Rattus norvegicus: one gene and its partners. The protein of the gene in region 4 purifies or fractionates together with the protein of the main gene of each other region. This does not show direct contact. Links are inferred from orthologs where the notes say so. Each region holds a gene or a part of one and is shown on either strand. Other genes may lie near its edges. The genes, in order: Arhgef6, Git1, Git2 and Pak2.

Region 1 (5,210 bases), on a different chromosome or scaffold from region 4:
GAGCATGATGTGTGTAGGGGAAGGGCTCTCCAGCCATGCCGAGGTCAAGAAGTGGCTGCTCTAGGCAGTTGCTTCTCTCCTTCCACGTTTCCATGGGTTCTAGGATCAGACAAGGGCCAGGCTGTACAGCAAGCACCTTCTCCCGCGGGGCAGCTCACTGGCCCATACAATATTGGTTTTTATTTTTTAATTAAAATTATTTGTTTGCTTTAGGAGGCATGCACTCTGCTGTATATCTTGGGGTCGGAGAATAACCCTTGGCAGTTGTTTCTTGCCTTCTACTCTGTGGGTCTTGGGGCTTGAACTCAGATAGACACACTTGGTTGGAAGCACCTTAATCCACTAGACCTACCAGTTTGGAAGCACTAAAATAAAAACGAGTACATACAAAAGAAGTAAGACACTGGGAATCAAGCCACTGAAAGGAGCCCTTGGGTAAATATTTTTTTTAGAAAAGAAGAGCTATGATAACAGCACTTTTATCTGTCTATGTATTATCATAAACTGGTTCTGGAAGGGTTCTGTCTATTTCTGTCGTTGGTTGGTTTGAGACAAAGTCTGAAGTAGTCCAAGCTAAAACTTCTTTTATAGGAAAGGATAACCTTAAACTCTTAACCCGCCTGCTTCTACTTCCCCAGGGCTAGGATACCAGATATACACCACAAGACTGCTAATTTCTGCTTATTATTCTAAGAAGAATCTTCCTTCTTTTTTAAGAAGGACAAATAAGTTACCAAAAGCCTCTGAAAGAGACTTCTCAAGAGCAATTGGAGTCTATTTTGTGTTCATTGTTCAAGAAAGGGAAAAGTAGCTCATGATTTACAATAAGCTAAGGGCAACCTTGTTCTCAAAGTGGTCAGACAGCTTTCTGCAGGGAGACTGTTATCTCTCTCACACATCTCTGAGGCAGTCTTAACAGTCTTGACGTCTGCTGAAAGACTGGAGAGCTAAAAAGGGAAGTCAGCTCTCAGCTTCTCTTGTTATTGTCCTCTGCCATGGTGATTCTGAGAGGAGCAGGAAGGACTCTGGGCTAGACTCAGTGGGCAGAGAGGCTCATGCTTACAGTCGAGCAGTTGCCTGAACATTGGATTCCTTTGCTTATTTAGCTTTCCCGTAATCTAAATACAGCTTTGTTTCAACATATCTAATTATTCCCAGTTCTAGTCTAGTCTTATTTTGGACATACATGTATCAACTGTGTTAAACAATTTAAAATAAAACATTTTCAATAACAATGCCAAGAAAGAACGAGTTTTAAGACTTTAAAAGCTTTACTTACCACTGGGTTTAATTTCTCGAACATAATTACTAGGGAACCATCCGGTTCTCCCATTTAATGTGCCTTCCCACCAGCCTCCTTCTTCAACTCGAGTGACATAAATGATGTCCCCTTTACACACTGACAATTCATCTTCATTGGTCTGCTTGAAGTTGAATCTTGCCTTTACTATCAACTGGTGACTTCCATTTTCCGTCATCTCCTAGAGAAACAAAAGCCACATCAGATTAACTGTCTAGCTAATGGATACATGCATAGACATTATGCATATGTAGACAAAGTGGAGTGATGAAAATTATAACCCCAGGAATCTGTTCAGCAGTTAACAATGCTGGTTCCTCTTAAGGACCTAGGTTGGATTTCCAGCACCCACATGGCAGCTCACAAACATCTGTAATCCCAGTTCCAGGGAATCTGATGCCTTTTTCTGGCCTTTTTGGGCACTTTTGTAAGTGGTGAACAGACATAATGCAGATAAAACACCTATACCCTGGAGCTGGGGATTTAGCTCAGTGGTAGAGCGCTTACCTAGGAAGCGCAAGGCCCTGGGTTCGGTCCCCAGCTCCGAAAAAAAGAACCCCCCCCCAAAAAAAGATTATTTTAAAAAAACACCTATACCCACATTTTTTTTCAATTTAAAAAAGAGTAAAACTCCAAGCTCATTTCATTTGATTACTTTATTTTTGTGTTTTTTTGACAATGTCTCATATTAGCTCAGACTGGCCAGGGCTTCACTCTGTACACTGGGCAGGCTTCACAGCAGTTCTCCTGCCTTTCAGCCTCCCAGAATCTAGGATTGCAGGCATATGACATTCTGCCTTGCCTAGCCTAGCCTCAGCTTTGAATCTAGGAGTCTACAAATAGGTCCAGGGGAATTTACCAACCCCTTCGTATCCATATGCAAATGTTTTCAGGGAGATGATGACCTGAGTTCCCTTCCTGGAGCCCATGGTGGAAGGAAGGAAGGAAGGAAGGAAAGAAGGAAGGAGGGAGGGAAGGAGGGAGGGAGGGAGGAAAGGAAGGAAAAAAGGAAAGAAGGAAGGAAGGAAAGAAGGAAAGAAGGGAGGAAGGAAAGAAGGAAAGAAGGAAGGAAGGAACTGACTCTTAAAAGGTGTTCCCTGATCTTCACGTGCATCTGCATTCATACACAGATAAAACACACAAACAACAACAACCATAATAATAAATTTTAAAATAAAAATTGCATTTCTCAGAACATATATTTTTGAGAGAGTCACAGCTTTCATTCTCCTCTTCATTTTCTAAACCTGGCTACTTAGCTGAACAAGCTACTAAAGTAAACTAATACACCATTCCATCTTGCTTCTCTCCAACATAAAACTCGGTGTAAATATTAGCTACTAACCTACTCTTGGAAAAATCACTCCCACCTCACAGTTACTAACAAATCTGAAGTAGGCCAGCGCCCCGTCATAAGTAAAGATCAGTTAGGCTGTGATCAATATTAAGCTGGATAGGTGAAGGTACACATGCATGATCTGAACACTTAGGATTTGAAGGGGAAAAGATAAGGAGTTCACGGGTATCCTCCACTACACAGAGAGTTCACGGTCAGCCTGGGCTCTATGACACTACCTCATAACAGTCACAATTATGTAAGTCAGAAGTTCTGGGTTTAACATCTGAAGGTCATAGATCCTTATGAGACTCTCATAAACCCAGTGTAGCTTTCTTTGCTCATATTAGGTTACCCACATGAGCTTTTATACACAGTTTAAGAGAGGGCAAAGAATATGGTGTCATAGCATTCAACAGCTTTTCTATGGGGCTGCTTGGCAGTAACATAGTTGGCCGAGTGCTTATCTGGCATTCAAGAAGCCCTGCTTAGATCCCCAGCATTGTGCAAACCAAGTACGATTGCACACACCTGTAATCCTAGTTCTTAGCCGGCGGAGGCAGGAGGATCAGAAGTTCAAGGTCATTCTCCCCCCAACCTTCCCCAGGACATAGCAAGTTTTATGCCCTGCTGGGTTATGCGAGAGCCTATCTGAAAAGAATGAGAAGGAAGAGGTGACCTCAAAAGGATAAGAAGCACCTGTTTAGACGTTCTGGAAATAACAAGTTGTGGTGGCCTACAGTAAGCCAATATCTTTGACAAGAGTGAAAGAATAGAAAATGGCATTTCCTCCAAAATCAAAGTTTCTAAGATTGTGGTTCTTAAGCTGTGGGTGGAGACCCCTTTGGAGGTTGAAAACCTCTCACAGGGGCTGCATAAGACCATAAGAAATCACAGATATTTCCATTATGATTCATAACAGGAGCAAACTTACAGTTATGAAGTAGCAGTGAAAATGATTTTATTTATGTTGGGGGTCACCAAAACACGAGGTACTGTATTGAAGAGTCACAGCTTTAGGAAGGTGAGAACCATAGGTCTAAGAGCAGATTTGAAGACAACTAGGAGATCCAGTATAGAGATGTATCATGGGCTCATATTTAAAAGTGGTTCTTCTTTTACACACCAAACTTGAATGTACAATATAGCCCAGGTTAACCTCAAACTAGTGATGTTCCTGCCTCAGTTTCCAAAGAGCTGGGAATGCAGGTTTGTGCCACCACATCCAGCTAAGCTTCCTTCTTGCTCAATAGGAATGCAAGGAAACAAAAGAAACTGCAATCAAGACCAGAACAATAATGAGTATTTATTGATTGCCTGTGAGTGCCAGGTAATAATTCATTCTAATTAGCTCTTGGGGTAGGGTAAATGACAGCAAAGGACCATCAGGAGCACTCATAATGACTGACATTTGCATAGCATTCCCAGTTAGTGACTAGCTAAATTCTAGTAAACAACAGAGCTTCAGCCCTGAGGAGTTCCCCTACCTGCTTTCTCCCAGTATTCCAGCTTGAACAGAAGTTCACTCTGTACCTCATACTCTGGTGAAACCCCAAACAAACAGAATATCTACCTCAGTGCACATGGAAATACATGGGAGATGTTCATCCCACTTGAGAGATTTTTAAAACAAAGTGGAGTAGGGAATGGGGACAGATGCTACTTACCGCTGCCTTTTCCTCGCTTTGCTGCTCTGGAGTTGTGCTGGGAACGGCTGCCTGTGGGTTTGTCTGAGAGCTGGTCGTAGCACTAAGAGAAGAGGACCGTCCACATGGTCTTTCTGATAGCTGATCTGTGAAGAGAGGAAAACAAATAAATAAATAAAACTTGCAGCAGGAAACCACCTACAGTACACTCTAGCCCAGGACATTGCCGAAGCCATCCTAGTGGCTTCTGGGATACTATCACTCTGAACAGGCTGTGTTTTTAGGCTTCCCCCTCCCTTTTTTCTTTTCAATGGCCAACTTTTTTCTTCTTAACCTTACTGGCCACTGCTGTCCAGTATAATGAAAAACAGCGGCAGAACCACATTTTCTCCTAACCCATTTCCCTACAACTTTCCCTTACGGAACCAGTTGCCACAGTATGTATGCCGTGTTACCCAAGGCAGACCTATATCGGGTACCAAACAGCTGTTTGTGGCTCTTAATACTTTGGAAATATTTCAAATTTCTCTCTTTGTTTGTTGGCTCATAACTTACGGGTTCTTCGCTTACATGTCAAAATATGTGTGGCCCACATAACATAAAGTCTCCCTGGTGTTTTGGGGTGGGGTGGAGAATCAGAATGAGGGAGAGGGTGTGTTTGAGACAGATGCAATCTTGGTGTTAGAATCATTTTGTAAAATCAAACACTGGAGCTTTCTCTTGCTTGATTCTTTGTGAAATTTGATCGGGCCTGGGCTGAGCTGGGTGTTCTCAGCACGCTGAGAGTGTACTGAAGGGAGAGGCTGGCTTCTTGACAAATTCAAATGAGGCTTCTTTCTTTTCCACTTATTTTTAAAAGATATAAACTGCAAAAGTCTAAAGCCCAAACATTCCCTAGGCGACAGGCTCAGCATCGAGTAATCTCCTT
Region 2 (4,017 bases), on a different chromosome or scaffold from region 4:
ACCCTTTGCTGAGGGGGCCCTGGAAGGCAGGTGAAGAGCTGGGAGGGACTCCTTGAGGCTCCTGCGTATCAGCAGGGCAGGGATGCTATGTACAGAGGGAGGGGCGTGGAATGTGGGGGACAGATGGTCCTGTCACCTCACATTCCCATCCTTGGGGCTTAAGGGGGTGTGGACACCAGGGCACCTGGATGCCAGAGGAGAATGGTGGCACTAAGGGCACTTGTGCCAGTGGCTCTGTTGGGGGTGGGTTAGTGTCTGGAGTGGCCCAGCTCCCATGGCCAGTGAGGTCCCAGGGTGTGGGTAAGGGCAGGGAAAGTGGTCACTGTTTCTTCTCTCGGGTGGTGATGGTGACCAGCTGCTTGGCAGCCTTGGCGATGTCATAGGCGCACTGGATCACCTGCTGAGTCAGTAGCTGGAAGTCCACAGGGGCGCCAGGTTCTGGAGGCACTGTCTTCCGGCATTCACTCTGCAGCCGGTAGGCGCTGGCGTTGAGCAGCCGCAGTGAACTGCGCACAGGCTCCAGGGCTGGCCTCTGGAGGGAGGAGGGAGGAGGATGAGCCCTGGACTTTAAGCCAGGTTTCTGACTGGCTCCACCCAGGCAGCTTACCTGCCTCTGCCCCACCCGAAGGCCCTCCCACTCTGCTTATCTGTGGCCCCTGTACCTTTGGGAAGAGAGAGGCCATCTCAGTCACAGCCAAATGGATCTTTTCTGAACAGGGCACAAAGCTGTCAGGGAAGAGAGAAGTTGGATGAGGGATTTCTCAGAGTCCCAGCATCAGAGGACCCTAGTTAGCAGTACCCTCCACCCAGTAGTCACAGGTTAACAAGAACCTGTGCCCACCCTACCTGTCATGTTTGAACTCCTGGGCTGCCCGCAATAGCTCCTGAATGTTCTTGGTGACCTGCTCTGTCTTTAGGATGACATCTTCTGTGCTGGGGAGCCCGGGGTCTGGGTCTCCATCTAAGCTCTCCAGCTCAGCGTGCAGCTCATCCTCCTTGCTCAGCTCTAGGAATCGCTTCCCTTCAAGTCTAATCCACGTGTGGAGAGAAAAGGAGCCATTCTAGTCACTGACGGCCTGCCTGCACCTGCACGGCTGGGCCCTCACCACCTCCCCCCGGTGCTGGCAGAGCTGGGAGGACCCACAGATGCTCACCCCAGCAGAGGCTCTCCACTCTGTGTGTTCTCATAGTCACTCTCTGCGCCACTGCCGTGGCGTGAAAGCTTGCTCTGGAGGGGGGGGGGAAGGGTGATGGGTGAGCACACAATCTGGAACTGTAAAGCCCACACCATCCCTGGGCACTGGGATGAACATTACCGCATGGCGACTTCCTTCTTGGGAGCTTGACAGCAGTGGGGAGGAGGGAGTGAAGGTCACAGAAGAGGCAGACACCCCCTTCCGGATCTGAAAACCAGGGAAGGGCCAGAGTCAGTTCCCACTGTAGTTCAGTGTCCCAGTGCAGCTTCACAGCTATTGGGGCTGGTGACTCACTGGTGCAGGGTTCACCCTCCGTCCCCAGGTCCTGCTTACCCGGTAAAGGCCAGCAGGGACATGTACTGAATAGATGGCATCATCTTCCAGCTCCTGAGGGAAGCAGAACAGTGTCATGATAAGCTGTGACCCTATTTTCCCCAACCAAGGCCAGCAGGCTACTCACTGTGCTGTGGAAAGGCTGGAGCCGTGTGGCGAGCTCATCCCCAGGTGCACCTCCAAAGGGCTTCAGGGCGGAGCCTGGCTCATACATAGAGAAGGCCTGGCGGTCCCTGCGATGGGTACTTCCACCAGGGCCCATGAGTGTGTGTTCTGCCCGTTCACTGGGAAGTGAGGGTACAGGCACTGGTCCTGGTGGCTGCCGGAGCTGCAGGTTCTCTGCCTGCAGTTTGTGGATCTGAGTGTACATAATGGTGTCCACCTCTGGGTCAAGGTAGGTACCACCTTTGGAAAGGGTGACCCCACTCCCAGAATCTTGGATGCTTTTCTGCCACTCCCCGGCCACAGTGCTCACCTCCCTCTGCAGCTTCCGAAGCTCGTCACTCAGACTGCTGTTGACTTTCATGAGCTGCTGCACTTTGGCCTCGGAGGTAGCCAGAGCCTTCTTCAGCTCCAGGTACTCCTGCAGCGTCACAGCCCCATCCGACAGATCTGAGGAGTCCATGCTCTGCAGGGACAGAAGCCAGTCAGTCTCAGGGACAGAGGTTGACCAGTGCTATAGGTCATGGAGTTAAAAAACATGGAGCTGGGTCTAGAGAGGCCAGAAGGAACAGAGGAGACTACGGGAGGGAAGAGCAGGGTCAGTTTTCAGACCCTGGCACGATTGTTCCGCGTGGCGCCAGCACTGGGCAAGGGCTCCTGGTCTGTGTCTTCGTCAGAAGCCACACTATCGTAGTCGTGCTGGTCGTCCAGGTCACTTTGGTTCCGTGCAGACAGCTCGAGGTTGTCTAAAGACAGAAGACCTGTGTCTCAGGGCTTGCTCAGTCACACACATTTATCGCGTGCCTGGGCAGAGGTGACCGAGGCCTGCAGCACCGCCGTGGCCTGCTCGTGCTCCCACCTGTGGGGCTGCTCAGACTCTTGCCCTGCTGCCTCCGTTTGGCCTCACTGAGGATGTCGATGATCAAGGTGGCAAACTCTCGGGCATTAAAACGAGCCAATTTCTGTCGTCCCTGCGAGGCAGAAAGGGCAAGGCCAGAATAAGGGACCACAGGTCTGGTTGGCTCAGGGGCTGGAACAGGACAACAAAGCAGGACCCTGCCATCCGCCTATTTGTAGCTAAAACACCCAGCCCCACATCAGCAGTGTGGCAGCCCAGGTCAGCAAAGGCACCCAAGGGAGCCCTTAGGAGGCTGAAGTACCCACCAGTACTAGAGAATAGCTTCATGCCATTCCTAGTCAGATCCTGAGGGAGGCCTCAGGAGAGCCTGCCTGGGTGCCAGCTTGTCTCTGGCAGGAAGGGCAGGGCTCTCAGAGAGGAAACCATCCAGGCCTCCTGCCTATCCCTCCTCACCTGATTCCGAGTGGCTGAGTATTCAGGGTTGACTGGCAGGAAGGGCACAGCACTGCGTTCTGTCACCAGGGTGCTATGATTCTGGGTAGCTAGCCACACTGTGGGGGAAGGGCAGGGAGCAGATCACCCACTGTGAATGCACCCTCAGAGAAGAGGGGGAGGAGCACTGAGCAGAGCCCCCCAGGCCCTCCTCTATTCAGACTGGGCCAGTGTGGCAGGAAGCAGGGTCTCCACCAACACAAACTCTGGGCCAGGCCCAGTGAGGCCCGCCCACTGACAACACAACAAGGCAGGGCCCACCAGGCCAGACCCAGAGTTTGGGTTGGAATCTGGCTGTGGCCAGGGAGGAGTGATGCAGGGTAGGGGTGGAGCATGGCTGAGGAGACAGCCAGAGTGGGAGGCAGCCAGAGCAAGATGAGCCCCAGTGCCTGGTGGGTAGAGAGGCGGCTGGCTGCTGACAGCTTAGCGCTGCCCAAGGGTGTATGGGGGAGGGGGTCGTGTGTGACAGGGACTCCAGTGGCCTCTGAGCAGCACCCCCTTCCCTGGTTCACTGGGTCCTGGCTCTTTGTGGCAGGTCCCTTCTCCCTCACCTGCATCATTTTCTCTCCGGTCCACTTCGTCATACACATCCATGGCGAGCTCCTCAAAGAGCCGGTTGCTGAGCTAGAGGCAGAGAGGGGGCCCAGGGTCTGTCAGGAGGCTGTGTGATGTGGGAAGTTTCATGACCCCGCTGTCACCCAGCCTGTCCTAGAACTGAGGGGTGGGTGAGGTTCTATGTGCAAGGAAGAGTCCAGGTTACTTCCTCCTCCCAGAGGCGAGGCTCTGGACACACACTTGGAGGGCAGAACCAGGATCAAGACAAGGGCATGGGGAGGTGACTGGAGGGAGGAGCCTGGCAAGGCTGGAGAGGGCTGCTCTAAGAAGTCCTAGCTTGTTGAGGCAGACTCACTGCTTGTAGCTTCTTCTTGGCAGCTTTGGCCAATTCAGACAGATCCAAACTGTGGACAAAGGAGG
Region 3 (5,828 bases), on a different chromosome or scaffold from region 4:
AAGCTTCCTAAGACGTAGGATGTGTATTAGGCAGTTCTTTAGTTGCTACACAACAATCCCTAAAGCGTAATTTCCCAATTCTGAGAATTCTTCCTGTCACTTACCTGAAGCAGGGTTGGAGGCCATGGTGTGTGTTTAAGATGCCTGACTTGGGAGATGTGGCGCCCTAGGCTCCGATGAACACTGCAGCACTCATCACATATGAGAGTCCCCCTGTTCACTGATGCCCAGGAAGGATCTGGAAAAAGAACAACACCTCAGTGGTAAGGACACCAGTTGGTGGCTGTGCACAGGCATAGCAAAAGATGACTGACGTTTGCTTTTTAAGAAAAACAGAACATGTCTTGTTGTTTGATATGCTCCTTAGATAGGAAGCTGGTGATCCTACCCGCCTTGTGATTACTCTGCTAAGTAGACTGGCAGCCTCACACAGCAGTCACCTTCCTGTGCAGGCCACAGTCTGCAGCCTGGATGTGGGTGTACACCACAGACACGTGCTCTCAGGGAACGCTAGTTAAAGTGGCAGATTGAGGCAGCAGAGGTAGATCACTCCACTGTTTTCCTGCGGTGTTGGAGACTGAGCCTGGGGCCTTGTCCTTACAGGGCAAGCACTCTACCACTGATCACCAGCTGGGTGACCGAGTTGAGCCCCTTTTTGTGACTAACAGAGCTGTGTGACCTGACAGTGGATTATCTGTGTAACAGTAGCTAAGGTAAATTGTGAATTTATTGCTGCCCGAAACAGGAAGTCCAGACCCATGTGCTAACAGAAGCCAGAAGAGAACAGCAGAAGCACCCGGCTGCCGCGCCTGAAGGCAAGCAAGGGTTGTCCGCTCTGCTCAGATGATGCTCTCTGACAGGTCTGCTTTAGATCACCTGCTGGATCCAGTCGTGCAGCTGATCTGAAGAAAGATGCTTCAAACCAACAGACATAAAACAAAAATGAATGGTACTTCTGGTTGAGTACAGTACCTTTTCCCTTTAAAAATCCCACAAAACTTCCGACAACCTGTCATACAAGGAATAATTCACACTGGGTGGGTAGGATGCACATGGGTGAGTAACCCCATCTCATCAGACTCACAGTGGGGTGACACTAGGTGCTACTCTAGCTGCCTGGCATAAGGGTTACATTTTAAATTCTTCAGTGTCTGTAAGAATCTCTGAGATGCATGTAGACATCTTTACCATTTGTAAGTTCATTCCAACCCTTGCAAACCATGTGATGAAAAGTTGTGGGACTTCAATCAGAGAAAACCCTGGGAGCCAGAGCGTGCAGTGGTTAAGAGGGTTGGTTATGGAGACAAACAGTCCATGGTTTGAATCCCAACCCTGCCGTCACATCTTGTGCAATAATCTGACGAGGCAAGCTGCTTCTTTGAGTGTCTTCACTGTGGACCGAAGTGGAATAGTGACACATCTCACAGGAGGGACGATGTAAAGAATAAAAATAAGGGGCTGGGGATTTAGCTCAGTGGTAGAGCGCTTGCCTAGCAAGCACAAGGCCCTGGGTTCGGTCCCCCAAAAAAAGAAAAAAATAAATAAATATAGTGTCTGCCACTGTGGGGCAGGAAAGGTGCATTTTAAATGAACGAGACTCATTAAAAACAAACAAGAAATCAGGGCCCAGAGGGTGTGGCTCTCCTTGCAATTGTGAGGACCTGGCTTTGATCCCTGGCACACAAAGGCAAACAGACATAATCACAGTGGAGTGTGGCTTCTAGAACAAAAACAGGAAAGATTTCACCGTTGGTGCTACCAGGCATTCTAAGGAGCAAGCAAGGGTGGGAGACTCGAGGCTCTTCACGCAGGCATGCACCAGCGCTGCCTTCTGCAGCAAGGCATTAACATTAAGACTGGAAGTGTGGCTTTGATTTTCATTATCAGAGGTCCACAGTTCTCTCGGGGCAAACCAGGCAGAAAAGGACAGCAACGTCTTACCACGAATCACGCAGTGGTCTCCATCAGTCACTTGAGCGCATGGATCAGAAACCCATGGAAAGAACACTGACCGCACACAAAATGAAATTTAAGCTTTTTAATTAGTAAGGTTGGGTGAAGCCCTTCCAGTCTATCTGGAAGGCAGGACTTTTTTTTTTTTCCCAGAGCTGGGGACCGAACCCAGGGCCTTGCGCTTGCTAGGCAAGCACTCTACCCCTGAGCTAAATCCCCAACCCCAAGGCAGGACTTTTTAATCAGGCTCCATGAACACCACAAATGGATTTCAAAAGTATCTGTGCCCCTACTCATCTCATGCAAATGTTGTCCAGGAGAGTTAAGTATTTGAGCAACTTCTGAGAAGGCCTTAGCATGAGGATTTCAAATGAGCCCTAGTCCTACAGGTAACCCTTGGCCTGAGCGGTGCACAAAAGGCAGCACACATTCCTAGTTGGTCCCTAACCCTTCAAGGTAGCTTCATTCTACTCAAAACAGGAAGGAAGTGACTCAAGCCTTTTTAGATTTTTTTCAAGACTTCTAATATGAAAACAACAGAAAAGGTCCTGAAATACCACGAATGGACAAGACAGTGTTCGGCATGCCAAGGGGAGGCCATCCGCCTCTGCCATGTACCATCCCCCTGGAGGAATAAGAAGCACGCTTCCCAAGAGGAAGTTTTAAGTTAGACACACTTGAATCAACACAGGCAAGAAAAGAAGGAAGCGGAACAGACAGCATCGGTTAGCTATGTTAGAAATGATAGTATAAACCTGGCTTTCAAATAAAGCCCCTCTTTTAAAACTGTTCCTGTCTCCCTTTATCTTTCACTTGTAAAGCTGTAGGACCCAGGCCATGAGATAACCAGTACAGGCTACCCCGGAACAACTTAAAACCAATCTCTGCTTCCAAATGACAAGATGGAGAGGAAAAACCAGTTGCAAGCTGCGGATGTTCAATGGCTCAATTAAGACTGTTTACTGAACACTGCTCGCTGCACCAAGAAAGTCATCTGATATTTGACTTCAAACCCGAAAAGTCCAAAGGACCGAAATGAGCACCTAAAGACCTGAATAGAGCACGACCTGTCAGTTGGGTCCCAACTGCAAAGCCAGATCCAATGTTCAAATCCAAGTCCTATCTGCAGTAAGAACAGCTTTGGCACTTCGAAGTCGCGGAGTTTATACCGCCAGCGACAAGTGTGTTAGTTTGGTGCGACTCTGAAGCCAAAACGTCACTAAAGGAACGAACGACAAGGGGTTTTGAACTGAGTTGACATCCTACAAAAGAGATGATCCCCAGGGAACATCCATTGACCACGGTGCACACTGCACTGGCGAGGGTTTCCATGGGGGGTCGGGGGGACCAAAACCGAGGAAATCAAGGTTTGAACAAGAAAAGCCATTAGTCCAAGGTCACACAGAGGCAAAATATGGTGGGAACTCAGACCCTCAAACTTGTTCTCCCGACCTGGGGCTGTCTGTCTCCCAGGAGCGGCCGCCCGGAGTAGGGCGGTCCTCCACCTGGGGCCCGTGGGACGGCGCAGCGGGCGGGAGACCGGGAAGGGGAAACACCTGCAGCCGCGGGCCGCCCGCCTCTGACTCCTGTCCTGTCACTGGCCTTCCGGGGCTGCCTAACCCGTTCCGTCCCCTCCCGTCCCGTCCGGTCCCAGGCCCTCTGCTTCTGCGTTCTGCCGGGCCGCGGGAGGGAGGGAGCCTCGGACCCTGAGGCTGACAGGCCCGGGACGGTCTCGCGCCCCGGCCGCCCGGGGGTCGGCGTGAGTGGGCCGCAGTCAAGCTCCCGCCCGCGGGGACCGCCCCGCCAGGGGTCCCGGCCCGGAGAGCGCGGCGAGCGGGCCCGGCGTCACTCACCAGGCCCGCTGCAGTCGGCGCACACGTCGTTGCTCCGGAGACGCTTCGACATGGCTCCCACCTCACCTGCCGGGAACCCCGCGACGGCAGAGGCGGCGGCTGCGCTTCCGCTCTAACGGGTCCCCGGGCGGCGCTGGCGGCGCCTCTCCCCTCAGCGCCTCGCAGCCCCGGCGCACTGCGCACGCGCGGGGAGACGTCCTGCGGAGCCCCAGCGGGTCATGTGACCGGAAAGGGCACGCTTCCTTATCGCCATCTTGAATGAGGGCAGAGGTCTGCCCAAGCCTCCTGTGACTGTCTCTAGATACTCTCGCAATTGGGATCTTCCATCTGGGAAGTGATTTCTTGTCCCAGGACTGATTAGGACCAGAGGAAGAAGCAAGGCCTTGTGACAAAAACTCTATACATATAATCTCCCAGAGACAACGGTGAAGTTTATGTCCAGAAGAGGCCTCAGAAGTCTAATGTGTTTATCCAACGTGATGGATAGTTGCCATTAGAGCTTTTAGGTACCATCGTTTTTTAAGAAAATATTTATTTATTTATTATTTATTTATTTATTTATTTATTTATTTATTTATTTATTGTATGTGAGTACGCTGCAGCTCACACGAAAAAAGGGTATAGAATCCCAATGGTCATGAGCCACGATGTAGTTGCTGGGAATTGAACTCCGGACCTCTGGAAGAGCAGTTAATGCTCTTAACCTCTGAGCCATCTCTCCAGCCCCTAGGTGCCGTCTTTATGTCACTGTATCCTGTATTAGCTCCATTCACTCTTCAAGGACTCCAGACCCGAGCAGAATGGACGTGGTCAGTTTTCTTGGACAGCCTTCGCACTCATCTGAAGAGATGGGTTGTGTATATAGAGCCAATAAGGAAGAGGGGGTGCTTTGCAGGTTGCACTGGAGGACTTCGTGGCAGCTGTAAACACCTGGGCAGAGACAGCACTTGTTTCTTCGTTGTGACGAGAAGACACAGTGTCTGAAGTCGCAACCCAAAGGATGAATTTTACTTGTGCATACTGTGGACCAACCTGGATACTCCTCTGGGCCACAATCCTAAATCTGAGTGGTTAGCTTAGTGAGGCTGATGCGGGATAAACCTTCACGGCAAGCACTTTGAATTATAGCCGAGTTGGAAATTCAGACAGAACAGCGGTTTTCAACAGGGCGGTTTTCTTCCTCCAGGGGAAAAAACTGCCCGTGTCTGGAGACAGTTTGGGGGATAGTGTGAGTACTGACAGCATGGAACAGGCGAGCGTCCACCCTAACTTACAAAGCATCGGATGACCTCCGCGCACAGAACCCCCCAGTTCAAACACTGCAAAGTTTAAAAGCCCAGAGACACAACTACCCCGATAGTGAGGGTATCTGGTGTCACTTATCCGGGGTCCAGATCTCCTGTGAACACGATTTCACGCTGCCCACTTCCAAAATGGTTTCCGACCAATCGCGGAAGGCGGCGGCTGAGGGAGGCTCCAGTCCGATGGTTTGGTCCAGGCCTGCGCGTGCACCCCCGGGCGGCAGAGCCGATGGAAGAGGCCCGATTGTGGAGCGCACCACTGGAGAAGGCCGGGCAGGGGACGAGAGTCGGAGGGCGCGCACAGTGGGTTTTGTGCGTGGAGATCTCGGGCTTCCCAAGGGTCCCGCAGTTCCACAGAACGGTGGTGGTCGTGTGTCCAGGCGTGGGGGCTTGGTGGGGCGACATGGAGCGGGACTCGGTCCGTTCAGGAAGTCAGGTCCCCCTCCGCGGAGCGTGATGGAACGCCTCGCGTACTTCCCTGTTCGGGGCGGTTCGGCCGGCAGCAGTCGGTTCGCTAGCTGTCAGCGCGGGCGCGAGCGCGCGGGGCGCGGGGTGGGCGCGGCCGAGCGGGTCCCCGAGCCGGTCCCCAGCCCGGCCCGCGACCCCGGGCCTCCCGCGCCGCCCGCTCCGGACTCGGAGGCCCTTGTCGTCCGCTGCGCCCGGCACTTGGCCGCTCGCCGCTCTCCTCCCCTCGCTCTCCGTCCGGTCGGGCGGGCCCCCG
Region 4 (5,210 bases):
GCTCTGGCATGCCCTAACCAAAAGAAATCCACAAATCAGTTACGGTTTAATGCTCTAATGAAAAACATTTCACAGGCCAACGACAACACCCAGGCAGTCGTGTTACGGAAGGCTCTGAGCTGCTGTGTGGGTGCTGGGAGCTGAACCAGGTCTCCTGCAAGAACAGCCAGTGCTCCGAACCTGAGCCCTCTACAGCCCTACTCACTTATTTTTGACACAGAGTTTTAACTATATAGCCCAGCCTGGCCTGGAACTCAAAATATTTTAAATTCCAGTTGCCTTAGTTGCCCACAGTTGCCTTAGTATTGGGATTAAAATGTACAGTGGTTTTATTCTGTTTTTTGAGACAGGGTTTCTCTGTGTAACCTCAGCCGTCCTAGGATTCACTTACTCTGTAGACCATGCTGGCCTCAAATTCAGAGATCAACCTACCTCAAATGCTGGGATTAAAAGTGTATGCCACCATGTCTGGCAAAAAGTCTAGGTTTTTTTAAAAGGACTATGTGGTCAACTGACAGGCTCTAGTGTGGTCCTCCAGTACCTTCCAAATTTTGTTTGAGATAGGATCTTCTACTGGCCTAAAATGCTACCAAATAGGTTGGGAGCGTGGAATCACGCAACAGCATTTGGCTTTTTTTTTTTTTTTTTTTTTTTTGGTTCTTTTTTTCGGAGCTGGGGACCGAACCCAGGGCCTTGCGCTTCCTAGGTAAGCGCTCTACCACTGAGCTAAATCCCCAGCCCCAGCATTTGGCTTTTTATGAGTTTTAAGGAAAGATCTGAATTCAGATCTTTTCATACTTGCAAGATAAGCATTTTGCCAACTGAGCCATCATCCTATCCCTAAAAGTTCATTTCTCTGTGTCTTAGTCATGGTTTTACTGCTGTGAACAGACACCATGACCAATGCAGCTCTTATAAGGACAACATTTAATTGGGGCTGGCTTACAGGTTCAGAGGTTCAGTCCATTATCATCAAGGTGGGAACATGGCAGTGTCCAGACAGGTATGGAGCAGGGGGAGCTGAGAGTTCTATGTCTTCATCTGAGGACTGCTAGCGGAACACACTGACTTCCAAGCAGCTACAATGAGGGTCTTAAAGCCCACACCCAATGGCACACCTACTCCACAGGGCCATACCTTCTAATAGTGCCACTTCCTGGGCCAAGCCTATACAAACCATCACACTCTGTACCTGTTTTTCATAACTATAATTGATAGGCTTGGCTCTCTGGAGAAAAGGGTCATCCAATTACTAATCCCTTTGAAGGCTATGCTCTGTATGTGACTGACTATTCTGCCTGCATGTACGTATGTCCACCTATATGTTTCATGCCCTCAGAGGTCAGAAACAGGTGTCAGATACACCGGAACTAGAATTGTGGATCATTGTGAGCCACATGTGGGTGCTGGACACGGAACCCAGATCCTCTGCAAGAGCAACAAATGCTCTAATTTTCTGAGTCACACTAATATTTTTATGACCAGTAAGAATTGATAACTAATTCTATGTAGTCAGTGTATAACCCCACACTCTGACACCTAAAAGCAGGAGAATTTAGAATTCCAGGTTTTACTGGGACATAGTGAACTTTGTTTTAAACAAACAACAACAACAAATAAAGAAAGGATCATCATATGGGATAGAAAAGTTCAATACCAGTCATGTGACCCCATAGTTATCACCTTGGCACATGGACAGCAGAGACAGGAGGACTAAATTCAAGACCAGCCTTAACTACAAAATAAAGTTTGTGGGAGGCCAGCCTGGGCTACATAAAAATCCAGTCTCAAAAAACCAGAGAGAAAAGTTAATTTTAAGCCTAACATTGAACAAAATGCTGGAGTTCCTTTTTTGGTTTCTTATTTTGACTGTGTGCACATTTTCAGAAGCCAGTGGATCATCTCAGGCATGGTTGTCTTCCTCCTTGAGAAAGGTCGCTTGCTCTTACTGCGTCACCATAACCACACAACTCCATGAGCATGCAGTCTCTCTTGTCCCCCACTACATAGTAGGAGCACTACAATTACTTTATCTGGTTATGTGCAAGCTGGAGATTTGAACTCAGGTCCTCATACTTGCATAGTAGGTCTTTCTCTCTCTCACGTTTTGGAGACTGGGTTTCTCCATGCAGCTTTGACTGTCCTGAAACCATGTAGACCAAACTGGTCCTGAAGTTAGAGATCCACCTGCCTCTGCCTCCCCAGTCCTGGATTAAAGGCTGCTACTGCCCAGCTAGTGAGTGCTTCTGTCCACAGAGCGATTCCCCAACCTTTCAGCACTGCTTTAATAAACAAACTTCAATTGGTAACTTACAGTGAACTCTCCCGTAACAGCATCAAAGCCAACATGGATGGTATGCTCAAAATCAGACGGCGGAGAAATCTCTGGCCGTTCTTTTTCTTTCTTTTTACTTCCTGAGGGATGAGGGAGAAAATTATCTCTTTAAACAAAGCTAATTATGGCATTTGTTACTGTGTTTGTATTTTCCTGAAACCAATTATGAATAAAATTATGATAGGACCCAGGTACACACATCTCGCGCCCTGACGGAGGGGGCCTCCAATGACACAATTTACAAACGCCACTTGTGAAAGCTGATTTCTTCCTTCATTCCCTTCCTCTTCTTCCAACTTGCTTTTCTGAGACAGGGCCTCATTTTCCAGCCCACACTGGCCTCAAATTCATGGCAATTCTCCTGTATAGCCTAAGAATATTAAGATTGAATGCATGAGTCACCATACCTGGCTTATACTTTCCTTTTTATTACAGTCTGTAAATATTACATCTTTAAATTACCCAACTCTCCTATAGTTGCACTGTAAAAAAAATTACTGCAACATCAGTAACATTTTTTGCACATTTAAACACATCAATTCCTTCTCCTCTCCAGTCCTCCTCCTCTAATCTGTAGCTCTTAAAACCATGAATCTATTTCTGGATGCTCTGCTCTCTTAAAGTCATCTCTCTATCATTATGCCAACCCCGTGTACCTTGATTACTGTCATCCTTATAACAAACATCAAAAGAACAGTCTAAGGCCTTTTTTTTTTTTTTTTTTTTTTTTTTACTGTTTTCAAATCTGCTAGGATGATTTCAGGTCCTCTACATTTCTATATGAAATTAACAATGCTTTACATTTCTACAAAAAGCCTTCTCAGGCTGTGACGGGAACTGCATTAACCTATAAATCAACTTAGAATTTATACACATTTTGCTTTCTGATCCATGGCCAATAACAAATCTTTATAAATTAGGAGTTTAATTTCTCTCAGCAATGTTTGCTAGTTATTGGGAGACAGAATACTGACCCTGCCATTACTTTCATATTTCTGTAAAGGAATACTTATTTTTGACGCTACAGTTTGTGGGTTGGAGTGTAACTCAGAGGTAGCTTGCTTGCTTAGCATGACTGGAGCACAGGGATCAGCCCCACCAGAGAACACAAAATAAACTTCATTCTTTAGGCCTGACCTTTGAACACTCTCTTACTTACTTTAAAATCTGTGTAGGCCTCACAGAGTTTTCTATAAGTAATATGCTATAGTGAACCAAAGAGAGGTGGCCATATCCTTCCTAATTTGGAGCTTTCTTACTCTTTCATTCATCGCACCTTACTGAATTGGCTAGTCCCCAGACCATGGTTAAGTAAAGGCCTTAGTAAGTATTTTTGTGTTTTTACTGAAACAGGAAATGAAAATAGTCAGTTTTTTTTAGTTTAATAAACAGTCAATGTTTCTAACATGCCCTTTATCAAATTTATTACATTTCCTTTGATTTCAAGTTTGCTCAGCACATGTCAGAAATGAATGTTGAGTTATGTTCAGTGTCTTTTCTACTTGTACAACCACACTGCTTATCCTAAGTTACACCACCTTAATCGTCCTTGCAGTCATGAAACAAGCTCTATCTGGCCCTGGTCTATCGCTCTTCTCACACATTGTTGGAGTACCACTGTTAAAACTTCGCCAACTTCAAGAGAAAAATATAGCTCTCTTGTAATGTTTTGGTCTGGGTAAACTGAAGTCACTAAATGTGTCAGAAACATCTCATATTCTATTTTATGGAAATTATATAGAATTGTTTTATTTCATCCATAAACATTTTATTGATTCACTAATGAAGATAGGTAGGTTTTAATAATTTTCTTTGTAGAAAGGGTTTTAGCTATAAACTCAATTCTTCTAGGACATACACAGTCTTTAATCATTTTTATAAAAGTAAACTTTGGAAATCTATATCGTTTAAGAAAAAAATTCACTTTCCATAACTTGAATTTATCAGTACATACTTGTATATAACATTCCATTGTGCCTTAGTGAAGACTGAACCTGGGCTTGTATGGGCTAACCAGATGCTCCGCCCTGGCTTTCACTCCCAATTCCAGCAAACCTTTCATTATAACCTGACATGCAATTTAAAACAACAACAACAACAACAACAACAACAACAACAACAACTACTACTTCACATAAACAGGTGGTAGTGGCACATGCTTTTAATCCTAGCACTCGGGAGGCAGAGGCAGAGGTAGGCAGATCTCTATGAGTTCAAGGCCAGCCTGGTCTACAGGGCAAATTCCAGAACAACCAAGGCTACACAGTGAAACCTCATCTCGAACAAAACAAAATATAAAAAAAAAGTAGAGTTCCTATAGGCTACAGTTTCGGCTGCTTTATTGATCATTTTTTGCAATTGGCTGAATCTAGTTTTATTATTCTTTCCCATCTATGCTGTATTTACTTGTTTGAGTTGTATGTATGATCCAATGAGGTTTAATATATTCATAATGTCACAATCATTATCACCATATAACTAGTATATTTTATCAACCCCTAAAGAAACCTTTTCTCGGGCTGGAGAGATGGCTCAGTTGTTAAGAGCACTGACTGTTCTTCCAGAGGTCCTGAGTTCAAATCCCAGCAACCACATGGTGGTTCACAACCATCTGTAATGAGATCTGACGCCCTCTTCTGGTGTGTTTGAAGACAGCTACAGTGTACTTATATATAATAAATAAATTTTTAAACAAACAAACAAACAAAAAAGAAACCTTTTCTCAATTAGCAATCACTCCTCATTCTACTCTAACCCTTCATCAAATAATAATGTCTTTTCAGTTTTTTATGACTTTTATGTGCATGTGTCTGCTTGAGTACATGCGCACTATTTATGTGCAGGTACCCTCAAAGGCCAAAAGAAGCCATTAGCT

Evidence for each region.
Region 1: the proteins of Pak2 (region 4) and Arhgef6 purify together in Homo sapiens (affinity purification with mass spectrometry; 3 studies listed by BioGRID and IntAct, counting the BioPlex papers as one, with this or other methods). This does not show direct contact. The link is inferred for Rattus norvegicus from reciprocal best matches to the Homo sapiens genes PAK2 and ARHGEF6.
Region 2: the proteins of Pak2 (region 4) and Git1 purify together in Homo sapiens (affinity purification with mass spectrometry; 5 studies listed by BioGRID and IntAct, with this or other methods). This does not show direct contact. The link is inferred for Rattus norvegicus from reciprocal best matches to the Homo sapiens genes PAK2 and GIT1.
Region 3: the proteins of Pak2 (region 4) and Git2 purify together in Homo sapiens (affinity purification with mass spectrometry; 3 studies listed by BioGRID and IntAct, with this or other methods). This does not show direct contact. The link is inferred for Rattus norvegicus from reciprocal best matches to the Homo sapiens genes PAK2 and GIT2.

What each region holds. Positions count from the first base shown.
Region 1 is NC_086039.1:140,255,877-140,261,086, forward strand, and holds part of Arhgef6 (rho guanine nucleotide exchange factor 6), read right to left. Parts: intron 4,429-5,210; coding exon 4,304-4,428; intron 1,482-4,303; coding exon 1,280-1,481; intron 1-1,279. UniProt on the Homo sapiens protein: Acts as a RAC1 guanine nucleotide exchange factor (GEF).
Region 2 is NC_086028.1:62,849,611-62,853,627, reverse strand, and holds part of Git1 (ARF GTPase-activating protein GIT1), read right to left. Parts: intron 4,002-4,017; coding exon 3,953-4,001; intron 3,667-3,952; coding exon 3,594-3,666; intron 3,102-3,593; coding exon 3,004-3,101; intron 2,663-3,003; coding exon 2,551-2,662; intron 2,438-2,550; coding exon 2,304-2,437; intron 2,158-2,303; coding exon 2,005-2,157; intron 1,888-2,004; coding exon 1,657-1,887; intron 1,584-1,656; coding exon 1,530-1,583; intron 1,404-1,529; coding exon 1,317-1,403; intron 1,229-1,316; coding exon 1,155-1,228; intron 1,030-1,154; coding exon 847-1,029; intron 727-846; coding exon 663-726; intron 533-662; coding exon 320-532; 3' UTR 1-319. UniProt on the Homo sapiens protein: GTPase-activating protein for ADP ribosylation factor family members, including ARF1.
Region 3 is NC_086030.1:47,488,525-47,494,352, reverse strand, and holds the start of Git2 (ARF GTPase-activating protein GIT2), read right to left. Parts: upstream 3,949-5,828; 5' UTR 3,859-3,948; coding exon 3,807-3,858; intron 239-3,806; coding exon 105-238; intron 1-104. Other genes in the region: Ankrd13a (ankyrin repeat domain-containing protein 13A), read left to right, coding at 5,564-5,828. UniProt on the Homo sapiens protein: GTPase-activating protein for ADP ribosylation factor family members, including ARF1.
Region 4 is NC_086029.1:82,243,331-82,248,540, reverse strand, and holds part of Pak2 (serine/threonine-protein kinase PAK 2), read right to left. Parts: intron 2,416-5,210; coding exon 2,315-2,415; intron 14-2,314; coding exon 1-13. UniProt on the Homo sapiens protein: Serine/threonine protein kinase that plays a role in a variety of different signaling pathways including cytoskeleton regulation, cell motility, cell cycle progression, apoptosis or proliferation.